3 linked regions of the Rattus norvegicus genome follow. The main gene of each other region encodes a partner of the protein of the gene in region 2 in a complex. Links are inferred from orthologs where the notes say so. Each region holds a gene or a part of one and is shown on either strand. Other genes may lie near its edges. The genes, in order: Shank1, Arhgef7 and Pak1.

Evidence for each region.
Region 1: the proteins of Arhgef7 (region 2) and Shank1 are in contact, whole or in part, in a crystal structure (PDB 3L4F), measured with the Rattus norvegicus proteins. Residues at the interface, in XP_063131056.1 of Rattus norvegicus: Asp735, Ala737, Trp738, Asp739, Glu740, Thr741, Asn742, Leu743; in NP_113939.2 of Rattus norvegicus: Gly673, Phe674, Gly675, Phe676, Val677, Leu678, Arg679, Gly680, Ala681, Lys682, Phe696, Glu703, His735, Arg736, Val739, Ile742.
Region 3: the proteins of Arhgef7 (region 2) and Pak1 are in contact, whole or in part, in an NMR structure (PDB 1ZSG), measured with the Homo sapiens proteins. The link is inferred for Rattus norvegicus from reciprocal best matches to the Homo sapiens genes ARHGEF7 and PAK1. Residues at the interface, in NP_001106983.1 of Homo sapiens: Lys192, Phe193, Phe195, Thr198, Asp201, Glu202, Glu217, Gly220, Trp221, Trp232, Pro234, Ser235, Asn236, Tyr237; in NP_001363202.1 of Homo sapiens: Thr185, Pro186, Pro188, Val189, Ile190, Ala191, Pro192, Arg193, Lys198, Arg203, Ser204.

Annotation. Positions count from the first base shown.
Region 1 is NC_086019.1:103,941,356-103,949,199, reverse strand, and holds the start of Shank1 (SH3 and multiple ankyrin repeat domains protein 1), read right to left. Parts: upstream 4,382-7,844; 5' UTR 4,344-4,381; intron 1,946-4,343; 5' UTR 1,903-1,945; coding exon 1,648-1,902; intron 1,487-1,647; coding exon 1,283-1,486; intron 872-1,282; coding exon 800-871; intron 1-799. UniProt on the Homo sapiens protein: Seems to be an adapter protein in the postsynaptic density (PSD) of excitatory synapses that interconnects receptors of the postsynaptic membrane including NMDA-type and metabotropic glutamate receptors via complexes with GKAP/PSD-95 and Homer, respectively, and the actin-based cytoskeleton.
Region 2 is NC_086034.1:84,399,154-84,406,261, forward strand, and holds part of Arhgef7 (rho guanine nucleotide exchange factor 7), read right to left. Parts: intron 5,319-7,108; coding exon 5,196-5,318; intron 1,186-5,195; coding exon 1,047-1,185; intron 465-1,046; coding exon 405-464; intron 1-404. UniProt on the Homo sapiens protein: Acts as a RAC1 guanine nucleotide exchange factor (GEF) and can induce membrane ruffling. Functions in cell migration, attachment and cell spreading. Promotes targeting of RAC1 to focal adhesions. May function as a positive regulator of apoptosis.
Region 3 is NC_086019.1:161,519,804-161,527,489, forward strand, and holds the start of Pak1 (serine/threonine-protein kinase PAK 1), read left to right. Parts: upstream 1-2,646; 5' UTR 2,647-3,010; intron 3,011-7,686. UniProt on the Homo sapiens protein: Protein kinase involved in intracellular signaling pathways downstream of integrins and receptor-type kinases that plays an important role in cytoskeleton dynamics, in cell adhesion, migration, proliferation, apoptosis, mitosis, and in vesicle-mediated transport processes.

The sequences.
Region 1 (7,844 bases), on a different chromosome or scaffold from region 2:
AGGTCAGGAGGGAAAGGACCAAACAGAATAAATGTGGCTGAGAAAAAAGGTCAGAGCCTGTGGAGATACAGGCATAGGACTGGGGAACTGTGGATGTCCATGAAATACTACCCAGGTAGGAAATTGGCTGATGCAGGGGAAAAAAAAAAAAGACCCTAAGTGCTCCTGAGCAGAGAAGGCAAGAGTTCAAAGAACAGATTGGAGGGCTAGGAGTAAAGCCTTGTTATGGAAGGATGGAGCCCCAAGTTTGATTCCCCAGAAACCACATAAGAGAGCCAGGGGTGGTTGTGTGCACTTGTAAACCCAGTGCCTGAGAGTTGGCAACACACATTTCTCCAGGGCTTCCTGGTCAGCTAGTCTGACTTGGGTGGTAAGCCAGTAAAAGACTATTAAACATAAGGTGAGGCCAGTGAGACAGCTCACCAGGCAAAGGTACTTGTCACCAAGCCTGAACATGAGTTCCATCCTCAGGATCCCTATGGTGGAAAGAGAATAATGGCTTCCCTAAGTCATCCTCTGACCTCCACATGTGCACGTCCACTCACTCCGGCACCACCAGCACCACCCATACACACACCAGGCACAGATGCCATCTGAGGCAGGTGAGGCCACAGAGGGAAGTGGGAAGGGGTTATGATGGAGACGAATGGGTGTCTCCAAACAGGATGCACCCTCAAAGTTAAATGGGGGACTTGGTGTAGCCGAGGGGTTGGCAGAGGGAATGGTTGCTGGGGAGAGACTGGGAAAGAAGGTGATGAACAGGGCGCTCTGGGCACAGGGGGCAGCAGGGTACTCTCACCTTCGTGTGCAGTTTGGCCAGCTGTTTCTCATCCAGGTTGGTCTGTTTGTAGACTCGGGTCTTGTAGCGGAACTGAGGCCAGGGATAGGATATGCGGGGACACAGACTTATCAGACTCTTGGTTGGGGAGCAATTTCTGACACTGCTCTTATCCTCCCAGAATGAGTTCAGGCTTAGCATGGAAATGGCTGTAGTTCGGGTGACCTTTCCAAGTATACCAGGTCATCAAGGTCTACGGCACTATAGCCCCTACCTTGTAAGTATAAGCATGGACCCCACCACCACCAATTACACGAATGTTCTAGAATGACTGTAGTTGGGATTCCCTCATTTGATGGCATAAGGAGCTTAGGGAGAGGAAGGAACACCATCTGAGGCAACTCAGCTGGCGATTTGGACTCTGGGTAGTCTTGGGGAGCCCACTGTGGGGTTCTTTTGGACTTGGAGTGGATGTGTTTCAGGGCATGACTTCTGTGGCCTCACCTCCAGGTAGGGTACCCCTTTCTCAAAGGACTGAGGGTACTCTCTTAGAAGCCTCTCTTCCTCCAGGAAGTTGGCATCCCGGCCTGAGGTGGCTGGCTGGAACAGTCCATAGTTTAGCACATCCTGTAGACTCTCGCTCAGGGCACAGAGTACTTGCTGTTTGGCTGTCCAGATGGTAGCATCCGGGTTGAAGCGTAGGCATTTCTGGTGGGAGATAGGATGGTCAGGGCTAGGTTGGGTCAAGGATCCAAGGGTCAAGGGTAGGTTGGAAAAGGAGTAAGATTGCAGCTAGATCTGGGATTGAGGGTGGGGAAAGACTTGGCCAATGTGTCTGTCTGTCCGCTGGCAAGTGAGTAGCCACTCACCGTCTGGTGCAAGTCAGGGATGCCAATCCTGAAAACCATCATGCTGAAGTGGGCGTCGTCAGGGACAGACATGGAGCGTCCCTGGAGGCCTCGGGTAGAGGCCAGGTTACCAGGTGCTCCGCTGCCCCGGCCCCGAGTACCCTGGGGGCCTCTTCCTGGTCCGTCTGGGGAGCTGTCCGATTCTGAGCCCCCCTCGGGACACTCGCTGGCACTGTGGCGTTCCTCGTCCTCGCTTGTCGCGGGGCTGTGGGTCATCGTGGGGCCACGGGGCGACGGGGGACAGCAGCATCACAGGCAGCTGGGCAAAGCAAGAGTGACCCTCACTGTAAAGTCACTCAGAGGCCACCAGTTCCACTCAGTAGACAGACACAGGGGCAGCCTGTTCCCTTTGCTCTGGGAGGTGAGGGAAACTAGACATGCCCTCAGCCCTCTGCACAGACAAGTTTGCACCACCTCTGCAGCCTTCTTGGCACCTTTCTCCTCCCTGTCCTTGGCCCTGCTTGCAGCCCCCATCCCCCTGCGCTCCACTTTGTGGCTGACCCAGTGTGTCCTAGAAATCACAGAATCACCGCGGGAGCTAGTGGCCCACTTTGTCAAGCTACAAAAAAAAAAAAAAAAAAAAAATGAAGCTAAAATTAGCTAAGGACAGACAGGTGGACCAATCCACCCCGGCATCCTGCCCTCCTGGCCAGAGCCTGGCCCCTTCACCCCAGGGAGGTGGAGACTGACTTTAATAGTAAAGATGAGATGGAGGTGTAAGTTTTGAGCCTGGGGCAGCAGGAGGTGCCCGAGAGCTGGTGATTTCACTGAAGTGTGGCTGACCACATGTTTAGAGGGCTGCTGTGGGGAATGAGCTGTCCCTGTAGGGGATGGAGGGACACGAGTGGGGGTGGATGAACAGAAAAGAGAAGTTCCCCTGAGCTGTGCCCAAGGGAACGATGAGAGGTTACTGGGGCGTGTGAAGAGGATGTGTGGGTGGATTGGGAGGCTGGCCCTGGCTCTGGCTGGAAGGTCCAGGTGACAAGCTGTGGTGGCCTGGGTGGGTGTGGGCAGTTGCAGGTGACCTGTGGGTGTTTCAGGAATGGCACAGCAGGGTGGGTGGGCTGGCACTGCTTGGTACTGGCGGCTTCACCGAGGAGAACTTGGATTGGGTGGGGTGTCTGGGGAGGAGGCTAAGAAGTGAGCTGCAACAATATGGGGTACCAGGAGATGTGGAGGGTCGTCCCTCTCAAAGTGGCCTACTGAGGGGTGGCACCTTTCCAAATGTGGTCCTCTTCTCTCTTGTTTGCCACCCCCCACTCCCCACTCTAGAACCGGAAAGCAGAATGTCTGGTCTGGTCCCTCCCACCCCACACCAGGCCCGGCTCCTGCACCGTTGCCATGGAGATGGGAAGCAGTGGAGGGTACTGCTGACTTTGGGGGAGTGGGGATGGGCTGGGGAGGGAGGGTTGGGGAAGGAAAGACGAAATGTTTAAGGAAGAGAGTTCCAAGAACTGTAGGCGAGCAGGCGTCTAAACGCGGGCTGAGGAACCCTCCCCCTCGCGGGGACCGAGCTCTGAAGCACCCCATCCCAGGTACCCTGCCTTGTTGCTCAACCCGCTGGGCTTGGGAGGAGACCCGGGCCTCCTGCTCTGTCTGCGGACCGCCCTACACAACCTCCCGCCTGGCAGTGTGACCTCAGCCACTCCCCCTCGGCTGACCCTGGCTGACATCCCTTCTGCAGCTACAGCTCTGCAGGGATGGGGTGGCAGGTGGGATAAAAGGTCAGCAAAGGCCGGGTCCCCCATAGCGCGGGCTCCACTGCCCCAACACCCAGGACAACTCGGGGCCCCTCCCCCTCCGGCCTCGAGGGAGGGAGCGGGCACACTCCGCCGGGGCGGCATGAATCAAAAGCTCGGCGGCTAAGAATAGCTGGCACGCAGCTGGTACCGAGACGGGCTGAGGAATCGGCGAGGGGGGGTGGCGAAGGGGAGAGAGGGGGTGCCCTGAGAGGCTGCGGGGGGACAGGGGACGGCTGGCGTGGCCAGGAGCCGGGCACCGGGAGAATGAATGGAGGTGGAGGAAGGCGGGAGCAGGGAGGTTGGTGAAAGAATAGCCCTGGGTCGGGAGAGGGAGCTGGGACTGGGGGCGGGAGCAGAGGGGGCGCGCCGGCCTGCGGAGAAGGAACCCGAGGCGCGATGGGCACGCGAGGCGCGGGTGGGAAGGAACTATAGACGCCTGGAAGGGGCGCCAGGTCCAGTCGTCGTGGGAGACTCTGGCCCAGACCCTGGGTTAGAGTGGTTGGGGACAAGGGTGACCTAGGGGAGGGGCCCAGGTGTGCTGGGGTGGGCGAGGCGGGGGAGTGGCCGAGCCCGGCTGGAAGGCGGGGACCATGACCCAGTCGTGGCCCCGGAGAGCCTCGGAGACCAGTACGGCTTAGGGGGCGCAGCACGTGGGGGATGGGGCACACCCTCCTAGCAAGGATACGATCTGGGACGGGGCACTCGGGACCGGGTCGCAACCCAATTTGATGTTACCCGTAGGGGCCACGTTACCTTCCACACCCTCACCCCCCAGACACACACCCTAAATGTACACCCAGGCCGGAGCCGGCGCCAGGCCAAGGACATCCGGGGCGCCTCCGCCCTCTCCCGCAACCCCAGTTCTTGCAATTGCACCCTACCCCAGAACCTCCCAGTAGTGCCCCATGCCCTTACCTGCCTGGCGGGGCTGCTGAGTCCCGGTCGGCGGCGCCCGCGGCCCCTCCCCCCTCCCCCCACCCCCCACCCCCCCCGAATACGGGGGACCCTCAGGCCATGCCCCACCGCCCCGGAGGGCGAGCGGGCCCGGGAGGGGGCGGGCGAGGGCCGGGGGGAGGGCGGGGGGGCCGCGGACCTCACCCCCCCCGCGGGCCGGGCCCGGCCATCCGCAGCGCGCCCCCCTTTCTGCCGCGCCCGTGAGCCCCTCCTTGCCCGCCCCGGGGCTGGGGTCCGGCCGGGCTACGGGCGCCGCGGCTCCCTCCTGCTCTGCCTCCTCCTCCTCCTCTGCCAGGGGCCGCCGCGCCGCCGCCTGCTCCTGCTCGGCGCCTCCACTGCCACCCGGCTCGCTCTCTCGCACTCGCTGTCTCTCCCTCACCCGGTCTCTCTCTCTCTCTCTCTCTCTCTCTCTCTCTCTCTCTCTCTCTCTTGCTCTCCTCTCTCTCCCTCCCTCCCCTCCCTCCGCCCTCTCCCCTCCCTCCGGGAGCCCGCAGAGAGATATCGCCCCTCCCTGAGCCCCCAAACCTCGCCCATTCTCCCCCCCAAACGCGGCTCCACCCCCTCCCCTCGCCCTCCTCCACCCTTCATCTCCACTGCCCCATCCCCAAACCCAGACTCCACCCCTGCTTACCCCCATGTACCCAAACGAGATCCTGCTCGTCCTAGGGGAGCCCCTCCTCCAAATTGCTCCCCACCCTTTCTACACATGGTGGGGTGCTATTTGTATTTGTAGTGTCTGTATATTCCCAGAATCGACAGATTCTGGTCCTGTACCCCCAAATATGTGTACCTTCACCCCTCCACATACACATACCCTGCCCCCCCACACACACATGCACACAACTTTTCATATAAGCCCACATACATGGAAGTACCTAAGCACATACTCCTTCTTCCAAGCAGGTCCTGCAAACCAAGCATACCCACAGTGCCTGCCCAGTATACCTGACCAGAGGCACACACCCGGCTTCATGCACAATGTCACACCCCTGTGGCACGGCACACTGACAGCACCCTGCAAGATTTACCTACGGCACACTCCAATTGCAGGCTTAGATCTGCCCACCAGAAGCACGGGTAGACAGACGTGTGTGGTGTCCCAGCCAGCTCACCCACTCCACTGTCCATCATAGGTGTGTATGCCTGTTTGACTGTTGTACACCCTGCCCACAGCACCCCCTCCCCCAGTTATCCTTGAGTATATGCTAGGTGCCAGGATCGGGGACTTCTTTGCTGTCAGAGCACACAGAAAGGCTAAGTAATTTGGCCCAGTTCACCCAGTTATAAAGAGGTTGTATCAAGGGTGAAGAACGCAGAGGGTGTCTCCATCTTCTCCCCAGTCCTGCTACGGTCTCTCAAAGAGCATACCTGAAGATGTATGCCCTTATGTATCCTGTATCGCCTCCAATTTCACATACATGGGCATGCAAAGCTAACTGTCTGCAGGTAGTTAGCCCTCTCCTACCCTGTACATTCATAGAGGAAGGCAGATTCATTCAGTTCCTTTCAGTCCTCTTCAACCATGGCTTCCACTTTGTCCAGCAGCGTCCCTAGGGCCACCAGGGAATACCAGCTCCTACAGAGGGTAGTTCTAGGTAGTTTCTGGGTTTGTTTCCAGCTGCGGGCTCTCTGGGATAATCTGAAGTTGGTACCCAGCTCAGAGAGGCCCTCATCTTGAGGCACCCACCCAGGTGCTGAGCAGCTGTGCCCATGGAGAACAGCTGCTGGTGTTGGTACAAGCAGTGAGTGGCCATAAAGCATTCTACAGTTTACAAGGCCTTTCTGCATTGTATGGAGATCTCCAGCTTCTGATGAGAGACCTCTGTGCTACAGATGAGCATCTGGGAGGCTCCAAGGGAGTCAGTTGGCTGCCCAAGGTCACTCTGCCCTCTGTGTACTAGACTTCCTTGAAAACTGGTGTGTTCCTTTACAAGGCCCCTCATGGGGCTCTCGGCAGCTGAGGGCAGATGTGAGGTACCTGCTTGGGGCCAGAGGCCTTGGCTACATGATGCCACACCCGTGACCTCCATAAGGCTGCCATGTCTTCTCTCTGAGCTTCTTTGCTTTGTCCTTGCAGAGCCTGGGTCCCCAGATCTCTGGTACATGAATTGGCAGGACCTGCCAGGCTAAAGCTAGAACAGCTCTGCAGGACTCATGAGCCTGGCATGGCATGGGTATGGCCTGGCGTTGGGACCTTCCCCTGCCTTCAGCACCTGGCAGACACCGTGAGAACTCCGGGGCAACCTAAACACAAAGGTCTGATTTTAAGGCCTTTTACCAAGTTATTTTAACATTGGTCTTATTCATCAGCTTAACTGAGCACCTACTGGGTGCTAGGAAGCCCTGCTTTGATTTGGGGATTCAGAAACAGCCCCAAATCCATGCCTTGGCTTGTAAGAGACAGAGGTAAATAAACAAGACCATACTGGTTGAATCATACCTAGAAGAAAAGGGGGCATTTTGAGAAAGCATCTCATGGTGGCCAGAGCTGAGGTTTCAGCAATGAGAAAGAGCTGAGGGAAGAGTCTTCAGAGGGAGGAACAGGCTAGGAAGGACACAGCAAAGATGAAGGGTGAGGGGAGATGGGGTGAGATTGCAGAAAAATGGTTTTCTCTCAGGCCCCAGCAGGCTGTACTGAGGACCGAGGCCGGGGTTTGGCTTCTCTCCTGCTTCTGATGGGAAGGTGAGGAGGCAGGGGCGTGGGGAGTAATGTGATCTGATTTATGGTTTGGAAGGATTGCTCTGGCTGCGGCAGGCAAGCAGCCCAGATTGGAGGGGCTTTGTAGAAGGAGGGAGAGCAAGGGGAGGCCACTGCAGTGGTCCAGGCTGGGATGAGGCAGCTTGCAGAGGGTTCTCTGCTCACAGCCCAGTGCTTGGTTAGTACACATCCTGGAGATACCTGCTCTGACTGTCAACCCCTTCTCCTCCCTTGATGGGGGAGCCACTGGGCCCACTCCCATCCTCTCCCACCCTCTCCCACCCCAGCATCAGCCTGCTCAGGGCCTGGCCTGCAGGAGAATCTTGGAGTTACACCTTTCAAGCTGCACACATGCATACTGTTCACACATATCCCCACACGCAGGCACACACAAGGGCTGCTAAGGCTAGGATAGGCCATCTGGGTGGGGGTTGGGAGAGCCCCCCCCAGAGTCTGAGAATGGTAGAAAAATTCCCTTCATTAGGCTGTGTGGTCACTGGTGACCACAGGATAATGACAACCTTTGCATACTCTGCAGTGTGCCCCCTCCTCGGGAATGGCCACGACAGAGAGAAGTGAACAGTCAAAAGCCAGGCATCCTGTCATAGGCTGCTTTTGTTCTGAGAAGGTTCCTGGACCAAGGCCGAGGGCCACCTGTACCAAGGATGCCCTGGAGAACTTTCTTCATCTTCCCTTTATCCATCTGAGTGCTTGTACTTGCAAAAGGGAGGAAAGAAGGCAGAAGCAGAGGTCTGGAAAGTGGC
Region 2 (7,108 bases):
CTTAGGCTTTACAGGCCTTTCTGTTAGGCTCGGGACAAGCAACACACAGTAAAGCAGGAGAGCACCTGCTCTGGTTCCATCAGGAACTGCCAGCAGAGAGGAAGGACAGCACGACTGGTGTCCTGGATGACTGAAGCACCCTGGACTTGGAGGCAAGGAGTCAAATGGGTTCACACATCTGCAGCACGAACTGCACTGTGTCCTCAGTTCTGGCTCTGGGGCCCGCAGTGCACTCGAGTGGGAGAGGTTCCTGCTTGAACGTTGCTATGCATGTCCTCATATCTCAGTAAACACTGCGCTTAACTCACAACTCACTCGTTACTGTGCATCCTTCCAGTTGGGTGCTAACCCAATATGCATTCATCATGAGAAGGTCAGAGAAAGTCATACGCTTAACCACTTACTGAAAGGTTTTTGAAGGCAGTCATAGATTTCTGAATATCTTGTCTATCAGGATGATAATCCTTTGGATAAAGAAAGATAGGATTAACTCTCACATCGAAAACACCCCACAGACATTTTGTTTCTCGGTGTGAGGCCTGTTTATCTTTTAAAGGATTACGGTGCCTAAAAGACTGGAGGGAAATTAATTTAAAACAGAACTTCCAAGAAGGGTCAGCGAGCCACGCTGTTTGGTAGGAGCCTCCCGAGGACATGGCCCCACAGTGCTTCCATCTCTGACAGCCCTGCCCTACAAGGCGGAGCTGAGAAACAGCATGAAGGCGTCTGCAGACACCCAGGAAAAGCAGCAGCAGACGTGCATGCTCTTAGCCCACACACAATCAGTGCCTCCCGTGTCACTCAGCATTCAGCCCTACTGCCTGTAACTAAATGCTGCGAGGACACCCAGCTCTATTTGAAAACTACGCTCTGCAGCTTTCTGGAGCCTTTACACGAGAAAGTAAAAAGACAGATCTTACTCCTAGGGCTGGAGGAGAAAATCTCCATGCTTAACAAAGTCCCCCTGAAACACCGCATTATGAACTCTGGACAAGCTCTAGGGTGGTTTCACAGACATAAGGGGTCAGATCAGAGAGCAGCTGAACCTCCATGTGTCTCTCCAGCTCCTTCAGCAGTGTGGGGTACTTGTCCAGGCGCATGAAGGGCTTGCTCAGGCCGGTAGTCAGCACCAGGATCCCAGGGCTGCTGGCACCTTTTGTCTCCATGAACTCTCCCAGGTCCTCACTGGGCAGCAGGGGCAAGGAGGGAGAGAGAAGAGGCTCCAGTTAGGAACACAGAGCAGAGCTCTGCTTCACAGCCAATTTCCTCTAAGATAAAATGGCCTGCTGTAATGGCTACAGCCAGATGTGCTGGTTACCATACAATGTGAAAAGTATCAAAATCACTCTCCCCTCAAGGCACATCTTTACCCTGGGCATGCCAGCTTCATGGAGACCATCACAAACTCAGAGGTCTCCAGAGAGCAAGCTGGTAAGAGCTGCAATAAACTGTCCCTGAGCCACAGAGACCTGTGTGAGGGTCGCCACACCCCAACGTGAAGCATGTGTGAGAGCTGGTGAACTGACACGTTCTCTGGGAGCAGCAGCAGCACACACAGAGCAGCACAGTACGACAGGGCTAGGCACACAGGCTCTGGCATGGGGAAGCCACGTCGCAGCACCACACCGTCTGCTCCGCACACAATGCACATGCCCAACATGTGGAGCATTAGTAAGTCTTCAACATTCTGCTCCCTTTTCACAGCCATCTTCAGGATTCAGCTGATGCTTTCTACAACAAGTTTCAACTGATAACCATTTCCCAGCATCCTTCATTTTTGCTGAACCCTTGACTGACGACATGTTTTCTCAGAGCTCACAATTGGGTTTGTTTTAGGTTTTGAGTCTTACTAAGACCGTTCTCTCCATCCCCATCCAGTCATCTTAAAGCACTGTGGGATGACTGAGATAAATACCTATTTACCAACTTCCTCTGAATGAGCAGCTGGTGGGGCACAGCCTAATAGAGGCTCTCCCTTTCAAGGGAGACACGTACCCAGCCATTACGTTATTCCAGGTTTACTGAAACGTCACAACCTGGTCACTGCAGGGAACTCACAGTACCCCGGCTCAGAACTCCTAAGAATGAGATGAAATTTAAAAGAGCCAAAGTAACTGCCTGGGATCTGCACACAGTGTTCTGGTGCCAGGAAAGCGAAAGTAACAAACCAGTGGAAAATATGTTCTAACAGAATAACTTATAAAATCCATACAGAACGGCTGGCCCCCAAGGCCATGCCTACTGTCCGTACAAGAAAGGAAAGGTCCCATGGGTGGACTCTTACACGCGCTGACTACACACGTAGGGAGATCCATCCTCAGGGGTACAGCACTTCTGACACCTAAGAATGCAGAACCAAACCAAACCCAGGGCTCGCATATTCTAAGCAAAACTTCCCATCAATAAACTACACCCGACTTGCAAAAGCAAAGCTTTCAGACTTGAATAAACAACCTTTTTTAGAAACTCAAAAACTAGGCTCAGGCATGAAAACAGACTCTACTGAGCAGGCACGGTGTGGCAGCACAATGGGTATCAGATCTAGGAAAGCAGCCGAGACTGGCAGCCTAGCATCTCAGTAGAGGAAGCTGCTTTAGGAAGTGACCAGGCACAAAGAACTCATGGCTCAAACCACCAACTTACGCCTCAGGAGAGGGACGGGATCTGTGGGAGGCTGAGGGGAAACCCTCACAGCTCAGGGACCTCAGAAGGGCACACAAACACCACATCCTGCTGTATCTGCTGGCTCGGAAGGATGCTCCTCTCTATGGCTCAGAACCACACACCAAGCTGCTCCTGGCTTTCAGAGCGGGCTCTAAAGTTCTCACTCCACATTTAAACATGCCACGTTGAGCAGGCAGCCCGGACACTCCCCACGTAATACCTCATCTGAGTCCTTCCCCTGAGTTATTTTAAGAAGTGCTTGCCTTTCAGACAGAACTCAAATAGTCCCTGGGGTAATAGCAGAGTGGAGATGAATGGACTGTACACGGTCATGTCCTCAGCTCTGCTGCTTCCCACAGAAGTTAGGCAGGCTCTGCCCAGGACTGCCCACCCTGCCACTCCTGTTCCCACTCCACCCTGTAGGACCAGGCACTCTCTCCACTGTGTGTGTATGTGTGTGTGTGTGTGTGTGTGTGTGTGTGTGTGTGTGTGTGTGTGTGTGTGTGTTGTGTATATCTGTGTGGAGGGGGATGGAACAGAACATATCACTTGCCCTTAAGCTCCGACACAAGCATAGTATCTGTGTTCTGTTTTTGTAGAATTTCATAACTTGCAATGAGTCAATCTGAAGTGTAAGCTTCATGCTAAAGAGAGGGAGAGGCTGACCCAGCCCAATCTCAGGTAGAAAGAAGGACCACAGTGTGCCAAGGTGCTGGCTTCTACTTCCTCTCTGACTGTGACGCCCGCTTCCCTGCACAGTGGTCCAAGTTTACTGACTCCACCCAGAATTGTAGGAGTTAGACAGAGGGTCAAAAACCTGAGTACACCGAGGAGCAGAAAATGCCTGGGGCCACTTACTTTTCTTACCAAAGTCAGACAACAAAATAATGGAGCTTTACTGTGTCTGCCCTTCGGTGTCTGCCCTTCGGTGACAAATGCATGCACGGTCTGCAATTGCTATCACAATCCTATGAGCAGGGACTGGCCACTCCACCTCTAGGTATTGCAACACTTCTAGGCAGGCAGGCAGGGTAGACTCATCCAAGGTATTTACTTGTGTCTCAGTAGTTTTACATGCCAGTGCTCAGTTAGGAAAATACTAGAGTCATTTAAGTCAAAAGCACAAGGACAAGTATCTTGATGCTGATGAATACTTTTCCATTAACAGCTCTGAATAATACTGAACTGCTGTTTATAAATGAAACCACATAATTTCTTCAATAGTAATAAAACTGGTGTGTTAATCAAGAGTGCTGGGCCTCTTTTGGCATCAGAAACCATTCCTGAGTTTGCTTGTCATTTGCTCAGTCACTTGACACAATGCCAGCTCTCAACTCCCAGCACACATCGTAAGGGGTCTCCCAAAATACCTGAAACAACCCAGCAATCTCTTTACCAAAGCAAAAGATATGGCTGGCAACACACAAAGCGAGTGAAATCCTGCACACTGATTTTGTTTCTGGTCGAGAGGCTCAAGCTAACAGTGTGCAGGTGAGCACTCTGCCTACAAAGCGCTGCTTCTCACCCCTGTCCCATGCTCTGAAGCCTCAACGTGGCTTACAGGACTCCCCTAAGCAGACGTCAGCTCCCTCCAGGCTCTCAACAAAGAAAAGGCCTCAGACTAAAGTTCAGAGGGATCCTCTTTTGTTCTGCCTTTTCCCCTTGTATTGGTGTGTGTGTGTGTGTGTGTGTGTGTGTGTGTGTGTGTGTGTGTGTGTGTGTGTCAGACAGACAGACAGACAGACAGACAGGCATGTCTGCTGTGGCACACATGAACCAGCGAGGGAAGGATATTGGGCGTCCTGCTCTATCCGACATAACCTGTGACACAAGATCTAAGCTAACGCCAGTCTAGCGGCCAGCAAGCTCTGGCACTCCTCCTGTCTCTGCCACTCAGAGAAGAGGTTACCATGCTCCGCATTTCCAATGTGGGTTCTGGGTCCAGACTCAAGCTCCCATGCTGCCCAGCAGGAGTAACCAATGAGCCATCCTTCCAGCCTGTAAGGCTCGAGTGAAAATGATCCCCACAGGATCATAGAGAGCAGCATTATGGGAGGGGTGTCTTTATTGGAGGAGTCTGTGTGTAGGGGTAGGGGGAGCTGAGCTTTGAGGTTTCAGAAGTACAGGTCAGACCCAGGGTCATTCTCTCTCTCTCCTGATGCCTGAGGATCCAGACATAGAACTCACAGTTACCTCTTCAGCACCAAGCTTGTCTGGGTGTCACCATGCTTCCCACCATGATGATAACGGACTGAGTCTCTGACCTGTAACCTAGCCCAGTTAAAGGCTTTCCTTTCTAAGAGGTGCTGCTGTGGTGTCTCTTCACAGCAGTAAAACCCTAACTAAGACACAGCCTCCTCAGAACCCTTTTCTTTCACAACCACATGGACCAGCTCGTGACTGATGTTCGGGCACTCATTTTGAGGAAAGCAAACTTACCCTTGCTATGTTTGAACACGCTCCATGAAATACCTAGAGGACAGAGATGCCCACCCTCCTTCCCTTCTGTCCCAGATGGCTTAGCCACAAACCTGTGCTCTGTGAGGACGCTCACAGCAGATGGGTGGTTGGCACAGTAGGCAAGGTACAGGGTCCTCATCTGCGGCATCAGGCTCAGGAAGCAGCCACCGACTCTCTGCTGGGCTTCAGGAGACCTGTACGCAGGACAGACACCATCAGACAGAAGACCAGCAAGTGGCAGGCGCTCCGTGATCTCTTCTGCCCGGTCTCTGTGCCTTTCTGACCCTGCCCCTCCTATAGGCTGACAGGCTAACCTTCTAGTGTGCAGAAGGCTAGGTCTGACATGCCACATGCCTGACCAACCTAGCCAAGTCCATGTCCTGAAGCCTCAAACGCTGTATACGAAGTTAGAAGACACCAAACACGACTGTCTCATTGCAGACACCAAACACGACTGTCTCACTGAAGGAAACAAACACGACTGTCTCACTGAAGGAAACAAACACGACTGTCTCACTGAAGACACAAGCACGACTGTCTCACTGCAGACACCAAACACGACTGTCTCACTGAAGGAAACAAACATGACTGTCTCACTGAAGACACAAGCACGACTGTCTCACTGACGACACCAAACATGACTGTCTCACTGAAGGAAACAAACACGACTGTCTCACTGCAGACACCAAACACGACTGTCTCACTGAAGACACAAGCACGACTGTCTCACTGAAGACACCAAACACGACTGTCTCACTGAAGACACAAGCACGACTGTCTCACTGAAGGTAACAAATGCTTCCTACCCACGTGGTAACGAGGGTGGCCAAGAGTAAGTGGCAGGCGCCTCCCACTGCAGGTCAAGAGCTGGAGGGGCAGCTCTTCCCACTCCCAGGCATTGGCAATGGGACACAGGAGTCTAAAGCTTAGAGAAGAAACAGTTAACCAGAACCCACTGTGGAGAGGGACAGTAGACCTCAGTGGTGAGAGTTGGGTGTGCCAGCTGGCTGGACACAAATAGGGTCACATTTGGGGTCACTGGGAGCCTGACGTGCTCTGCCTATCTCGCACAAGTGTAGGCTTGGGACAGGACACCATGCTACATGGGCTGAGGGGACACCCCACCTTCCTGTGCCCCGGTAGTGCACATCCACCAGATTCCTAGCACACAGAGAGCAAAGAGGACTTCCCGTGCCTTGGGGACTCTGACCCAGAGATCATAGAACCAAAGCTACTGATGCCAAAAGTCCTCCCCAGCGCCACTAGAGCATTTGCCATGTGCTATCTCCGCTCTAAGCAGCTGCTGGCCAGGCACAGGTCAGCGTAATATCAGCTAGAGACATCTGGAAGGAGAGAGCCTCACTGGGCTAACAAAACCCTCTTTAGGACTGGGCTCTAGAGTGGCCTATAGGGCACTTTCTCAGTTAGTGATCAGTTGTGAGTGGCCTCAACCCCTGGGCTGGTGGTCCTGGGTTCTAGAAAAAAAGCAAGATGCACAAACCAGCAAGCAGCACCCCTCCATGGCCTCTGCATCAGCTCCTACCTCCAGGTTCCCACCTGGTTTGAATTCCTGTCTTGACTTTGCTAAATGGACTGTGAATCAGGACATGTAAGCCAAATAAACCCTTTCTCCTTCCCAAGATGCTTTTGGCCACAGTGTTTCATCACTGCAACAGTAACTCTAATTAAGACAGTTGGCAAGGAAGACTGATGGACGGAGGAAAGAAGGAAGGAAGGAAGGAAGGGAGGAAGTAAAGGAGGGAGGGAGGCAGGGAGGCAGGGAGGCAGGCAGGCAGGCAAGGCAGGCAGGGGAAAAAAAGAAAAGAGCAAAAACAAACAAGATGAAATGGGGTTAGAAGGGCAGACCAGACTATGTTCAGAAAGCATCAAATCTGAGAAAAGGAACAAGACTACTGCCTATCTAAAATATATGACAACTGAGGACTTCAGCAGAGTATTTGTGACCTAGGCCATGGGCAGAGAG
Region 3 (7,686 bases), on a different chromosome or scaffold from region 2:
CATGGCAGGCTGAGGCGGAGGATTTTGGCTTTGGAGTTAGCTCTGGGCTACATAGCAAGACCCTGTCTCAAAAGCAAACAAAGAAACACAATGTACTAGGGTGCTAGAACTGTCTTCATTATTGGCTTTGGCAGGGTCTTAGGGACAGCACAGCAAGTGGTGTCTAACAATTGGGGTGGCCATCTCTAGCAAACATCCCCTTTCACTTTAATAACATAGACAAGCCCTACCCCTGACTGGAGATGTATTTCTTTCGACTAGGGAATAAATTAGCACATATGGTGGCCTAAAACAATACACTTGCTATTTAAAGTAACTTAGTTCAGAAGTTCAAAGTGGATGTATATGGGTTGAAATCAAGGTGCCAGAGGATCCAAAGGAAAACTTTTCTCTTGAATTTTTCCATCTTTTGAAATACGCATTCAAGAGCAGAGCAGTTCTTATCTCAAAGTCCTGATTTAATCACACCTGCTAAGTGCTTTGTTATGGAGGGAACCACATTTACTACTTCCCGGGGTCAGAATACTAACTTTTGGAAGAGCTACCATTTGCCTGCTGTGGAGACAGTACAAAGATAGTGTAGAGTAGGATACATTTCCTGGGTGGTGAACCTGGGATAAATTATATCTGCACATATACCTCAGTTTCCTCATCAAAGGGCAAGGGGAACAGGAGGAAACCTCAAATGGTTGTTATAGATGTGTTTAGCAAGATAGCATTAAGAAGGGCTCAGAACAGCACCCAGCACACAGTAAGCATTTATTTAATACAGTTTTGTTATTGTTGTTGGATACAAGGTCTCTGGATCTCACAGAGATTTGCCTTCCTCTGCCTCTTGAATGCCAGGATTAAATGCCTATGCCACCATCTAGACATTTAATATATATTTATTATATATTAATATATATTTTTTAACAAATTGATTGATACTATGTATCAAGCACTGCTCCATGTTGGGGGGTACAGATGGGAATATTTTGTGGAACTGATTAAGTCAGATATACAATTACAGTTTCTTGGGATAAAAAAGTCAGGCCAGGTGGTACATTTGGGAAGTTGAGGCAGTTCTAGGCCAGCCAGGAATCCTAAAAGGAAGAAAGGGGATGGGGAGGGAAAGGGAAAAAATAGGTGAGAAAGGTATAATATTAAATTCAGGGAACCTTAGAAATATTAGTCAAAGTCCTAGATTATTGTGATACTGGAGTTTTTCTTTGTATAAGGAATAGATGTTTTCAAGCCAGATAAGGAAGGAAGGGCTCCTTGATTGGAAGAAGAATGTTAAAAAAATATCAGGTAGTATTCTTATGTAGTTTGGGCAAAGGTAGAGCGTGAGACAAAGCAAGAAAGGCTGTCATAAGCAGCCAGCCTGTGAGTGCTGTGTTAAAGTTTGGACTTTATCCTAAAATCAATAAAGCATCTCAGACTGTTTAAACAGAAGAAAGCGATCATAAGTTTTGTAGCTTTATAAAACTTCTCTGGAGACCAGTGAGTGTAATGAGTTAGATTTTGATTTTGAGAGTCTAAAGGTTGCTTCTGTTGCCCAGGTGATGGTGGTGAACAGCGAGTTGGGCAAGGGCTCGATGTGTTTGGTTTTTTTTTTTTTTCTTTTTTGTTTTTTGTTTTTCAGCTTACAAGCCGGAAGCTCAATTTGAAATTAATATTGAGAACAAGGATCTGATTAGAGGGATGTTGAATGGTGTCCATTGGCTGAGAACATGAAGGGAAGAGGTCACTAGAAATACCTATTATTTTTAAGGGCAATGCATACTAAACTGTATCTGTTGTTATTAATTCGAAGCTTAAGAGAGGCCAAATTAGGATAGTCAGGTGCAATGTATAAAGACATTACGGGTTAGGAATTCAACTTAACTTGGATATCTGGGGTGTGAAATAAGGCTCTGAGTTTTGGCTCAGAGTAATAACTTTCTTGGTTTTGGGTTTACTGAATTTGTGGTACAGCAGGACATGCAAGTGATGAATGCTGCTTTACAGGTATTGAGAAAAATAGAATCTGAGCTCAGGTAAAAGGTTTGCGTCAAAGATAGCCTCAGTGGTGGGAGAAGAGGAGAAAGAGTGTACTTTTTCCAACGTGAATTCAGTATATCTCAAAAGTTTCCGCTATTTTTTCCCCGCCCTTACTCTAACTCTTACACCCCCTAACTAACCCCAAGACAATGTCAGGGTCGGAGGTGTCGCGAGATGAGACAGTTTTCACACTTTCAGCGCTTGGCGAAGAGCATGGGGATGACATGGTGCTTTTAAATCCAAGGGGCTACCCTCGTTCCACTCCGACTTCACGCTAACCATCTTATAGAGCATCCAATTTCATGGAAAAAGGCCGCTTCAAAGAGAGAGACCGCGACAGCTCCGAGCAGACACCCGGCCCCGGTGACGTCACGTGGCAGCCAGGTGATTCCCTAGCCTCTGGCGTCAAGTGCTGATGACGTCATCCCGGCGCTCCACCTCGTCCCCTGGCCGCGTTGGCCTGGTTCACGTGGGTCTGTCCAGCGCTCCCCGCCCCCTCCCACCTGCCGGGGGCGGAGGCCGGACGGAGGGGGCGGGCCCGAGCTGAAGGAGGCGTGGCCTGGGCGGGGTCGCAGGGCGCGGCGGCAGCGAGCCGGGCTGCATACAATAGCAAGGCTGCGACCCGGGCGGAAGGTACCGCCGCACGGTGGGCGCTCCTCACCGCTTCCCCACACCTCCCAGTCCCACTGCACCTCTAGGCTGCGCGGAGTCCTCTCGGCTATTACCGGCTCTTTGCAGCCGCCTGTGCCCCCTCAGAGCCCGCGCTCTCCACAGTCTCCTCAGAGAAGGACCCCCTCAGCGAGCGCACCCCGCCCCTTCGCAGTCCGGGCGCGCCTCCCGCTCCCCGCGGCCCGCAGCGTCCCGCCCTCCAGAGCCCGGCTCGAGCGGCGAGAGGAGAACGCGGGGCTGCCGCCCGCGCACACTCCCGCGCTCTCTCTGGGTTTGGCTGCCGCCAGGAGGAGGAGGAGCGGAGCGAGCGCAGAAGGTGAGAGCTGGCCTCCCGCGACGGTGCTCGGGGCATCACGGCGGCAGGGCGAGGGCGCGGGGTTGGGGAAGGCGCTCGGGGGTGGGAGGGGCGGGAGTGAGGGGGGCGGGGGTTGGGGGGCGGGCAGGGGCGCCAGGTGAGCTGAGGCGGGCGCCGCCCCGCGAGGCCGACCGCTCCCTTCGGGCCAACAAAGGCCCCCTGTGCGACCACGGGTTCCCGAAGCCGGGGCACTAGGGACCCCGAGGGTCCACAGGTCCGGGTCCCGGACGGACTCCCTTCCGAACTTCGGGGTCCTGGTACGCTAAAACTGGCCCGCGACGCAGATGCTAAGTGAAGCAGTGAGGATTTATTCTCCGTGGTCAGCCCCGGCTTGGGAATCACTTTTCGGGTTCATTGCCTTGAAAAACAGACTGGTAGTAAATGACTTGTGCTACCCCTCCCCCACCCCAGGAATACTCGGTAACTTGGGAAGTTCCGCACAGACTTAGAAAGAATGGGAATCATAGTTGTTTTTTTTTTTTTTCCATTATTAGTCTATTTCAAAGGCAGAGTTAATCCAATCATCACTATCTTGGATCTTTTAAAGGTAAACAATACTGTGAGTGTTTTTGGAATAATACCTGACAATTATTGGGCACCTTTTAAAAATATAATGTAGCCTAAGTTTCTTATGTTAAACCCCTTGGATAATTATCTTATCCTTTACGATGTTTCCAGAAGTGTAAAAGGTAAAAGAAGAGATTATTAATCAAGTTAGTACTTCTATTTTGAGAATCATTCTTGAGAAAAACCTTTGTCCCCTATGTTTAAGGGTCTTTCAACTCTGTCAGGAGGAAAATGTCAGCAGTACAGAGACGCCTCACTAGGCATTCCCTCCTTCCTCACTCCCAGCCTTAAAGTTCCTGGAGTTTGCTTTTAAAGTTCACAAATGAGCAGCTAGCTAGCAATCATCTTATCTACTCAGCTTTCAAGATTCCACTGAAGAATCCTCTCCACTGTGGAGTCTTTGCTGGCATCCATTCTGTCTCCCTCCTAATATAACAGTCTTCTCCCCATTGGGACTCCCAGAGGCCCACAGAGATTTCTTCTGTCTGCCTTGTAACACATTCTGTTTGGGAATCTTAATCATGGTACTCATGAATACAACCCATTTCAACTAGAAGCCACCTCTCAAAAGGGTTTTGGCATCTCGACACTGACATTTCCTGAAGCTTATTCCAGTCTCACCTGCTACATGAACTCATGGCTTGGCCTGATCAGTTTACTTAGTCATCTGTTTATCCAACATTACTACTATAATCTGGAGTGGTGCAGTGTTTGAAGCTGCCTCCTAAGTCTGTGCTGATCTCAAGCATATCAATACAGTCAGTCTTTGCTTACAAGACCAAGAGCTCAAAGTTTAATGGGTGAGGTAGACTTGTAAACAATGAAGGTCCTCTGGGGGACTCCAGTTGTGCAGGGAATGGTGTGCAGTAATCGAGGTTGCTGGACCTGTCTTACAAGTCTTGTCCTGGCCACAGTAAGTTCGTAGGGAAAGTGACTGGCCCTTCATCCGTAAGAGTTTACCTGATACAAAGCTTATCCAGTTCAATTCAACATATATTCTGAGTACCTGTTTGGAGGCATTATGCTAGGCTTGCAGGAAGCTGTGCACTTTGAGGGGTCTTTGCAAAACAAAACCTGCTCATATCAGTGCTTCCTACCCTCCTACTCCCTTTTTCACAGTTGAAGGATTAACCTCAGACTTTTTAGTGTGAAACAAACTTCCTGGAGAGCCCACTATTGCCTACTTTAGCATCCTCAACCTTTCTGTGTCCTGTCCTCTACCTCCTCTTCTCATCTCTTTTCCTATGCTGCTTTGCCTGGAGTTCTACTGTTCTCCCTCGTACTTGCCTGTAGAGAATCCTTGTCGGACCTCTGAGAAGCAGTTCTTCCTGCTTGTCTCTGGAAATGAGGTGCTCTCCATCTTCTGCTCAGTCTCTAGAATTTTTGTACTTCTCTTTTAGCAATCAGTTGCAATTAAATTTGAATCTTCACCTTTGAACTTTAGCTCGTTCCTTCCCTCCCTTGTGGTACTAGGGTCAGGTGCTCTACTTCTGAGCTATGTCCCCAGCCCTTGGATATCTCATACTGAACATTTTTAAATTTTGAGACAAGATCAGCCTTAGACTCATTCTGTAGCTCAGGCAATGAACTTTTGATTCTCCTTTAACTTTCTAACTGGACCACTGGAGATCACTAGGTTCAACTGCCTGTGAATCCTTTCTTTTTTTGGACATGTTAGGGCTCCCCTTTCTTACGTTTTATTTTTTTATTGTGTTGTGAGTGCATGTATGTGAGCTGTGGTTTATACAGAAGAACCTTTGGAAATTGGTTCTCTTTCCTGGGGATCAGACTCAGGTTATCAGGCTTGGCAGCAAGCACCTTTTCTTAATGAACCATCTTGCCAACCCTATATATTATTCAATTTTATCTTTGTTAGTGTGTGTGTTAGTGGGAATTCTGCGGAGGTCAGAGGACAGCTTTCAGGAGTTGATTCCTTCCTTCTCTCTTCACAGTGAGTTTCAGGGGTGGAACTTATTAGGCATGTTTATTAATGCAGATGCTTTTTTTTTAACCTGTTGACCAATCTCATTAGCTCTACTTTTTATTTTGAGACAGGACCTTCCTAAGTTGCTGAGGCAGTCCTTGAACTTGGAATCCTTCTTTGTCTAGCTTCTGAGTAGCTGGGGTTACAGGCCTGTGCTACTAGGCCTGCCCCTGAATTACTTGAGGTCAAGATATGTTTAGATTTAGTGTCTAGCAAAGTTCCTGGTACTTTGAGTACATTGAATGAATGAATAAGTACTTCGAATGAATAAATATGTGAGCCAGTGAAAGAAAGAAGTCCTGTGAAGCTCATAAGCTGGGTCACCTAATCTTTAGGATGGGACAATTAGTTGTTAAAAGTATGGTCCTTCCTTGCACCAGCAGTGACAGCATAATCTGGGAATTTTGTCAGTATATTAATGAGTCTTATCCCAAACCTACCAAAAAAAAAAATTAGGGTTGGAGCCCAGACTTCTTTGCTTTATTAGGCCCTCCAGGAGATCCTGATGCTTATTAAGGTTGAGAAATAGTTACAGAGTTAAAAGATCTGTTTTTGTTTGTTTGTTGTGTAGAACCAGCACCCCATTCTCCCTTTTCCCTCATTTCCTTCCCCTATCCCTCCCTCTGTTTCTCTTCCTTATTCTATCCTGACATTCTCTTCTCTTCACATGCTCTCCTTCCAGTCTTTTCTCTTGCCGCTAGAATGAAAGCTGCTTGAGGGCTGGGAGATTTTTCTGTTCTAGTTCATTGCTTTAAGCTTATGCCTAGAAGAGTGACTAACCACAACTAGCACAGACATTCAAATATTTGTTAGATGAATAATATGACTTAGTCCTGCTTACTGCCAGCTGCTACACTGGGGTTTTGTTGAAGAATACTTTGAGTGAAGAGTAATCACATTCCAATTTGCAAATCCAGAGAATCTTAACATTTTGGGGGATTCATTTTCACTTTGGCCAGCTTAGTTACCTTCCTTCTTTCCCTGTGTTTTTTTAATTTATTTTTATTTTTTAGTATTATTTGAAACAAGGGGTCTTGCTATGTAGCTCAGACTGGCCTTAAACTTGTGCCAGTTTCCTGTCTGACCTTTATTTTTTTTGTGTGTGTGTCTCAGATAACAGTTTATTAACATGGAGATATTATTGTTAGCTTTTGTACAATGCATTCAGCAAACCAGCAAAACTTTCAGAAAATTGTCATTAATTTCTTCAGTACACTATGTAAACTGTCTGACCTTCTTGAGTGCTGAGATTACAGGCATATGCCTGGCTTTGCTGTCTTTTTACCATAGGAAAAAATCTACAGGGTTTCCCAACTTATAATATTGTTTTAGCCATGACCTGAAAACTACTGAAATATCCCAGGCCAGGATTCTTTCTTGAGAATTTGCAGCTTGGTTTTCCAAGTCTAAATGAGCACTCAGACTTTTTGAGTCTTAACTTGAAGCTGTCTCCTCCAGATCCCCCGTGGTTTTTGTCTTTTTCTAGGGATATTTAAAAGCATATAAAGGTCTACTTGATTCTACACAATTTCTCTTCCTTATGAAGCTTTAACAGTGCTTTACTTTATGTTTTTTTCCTTCAAGCCAGGGTCTGTCTGTTTAGCCTTGGCTATCCTGGAACTCACTCTGTAGACCAGGCTGACCTCGAACTCAGAGAGGTCTGCCAGCCTCTGCCTCCTGAGTGCTGGGGTTAAAGGCATGTGCTGCTACCCCCCCCCCCCATGTGTGTATATGCAGAATTCGTATATGTACATTTTCGTGTGTGTATGCGGGTATGTGTTCACTTATGTGGAGCCAGAAGTCATGTTTGAATTGTTTTCCTCAGTTGCTTCTCCACCTTATTTTTTGAGACTTGGGTCTCTTACTAACTTGAAGCTTAAGGGCTCAGTTAGATTGGCTGTCAGTAACCCTAGGCATACCCTTGACTCTGCCTCCCCAATGCTGAGTTTATAGGTATACTACTGCTCCCAGATTGTTCAATAAGTGCTGGGATCTGAATTGAAGTCCTCCTACTTGTATGAGGCACTTTCCTGAGTCATCTCTTCAGTCCAGTGTTTTTGCCACTTTCTTATTAGTCTTAAACAGC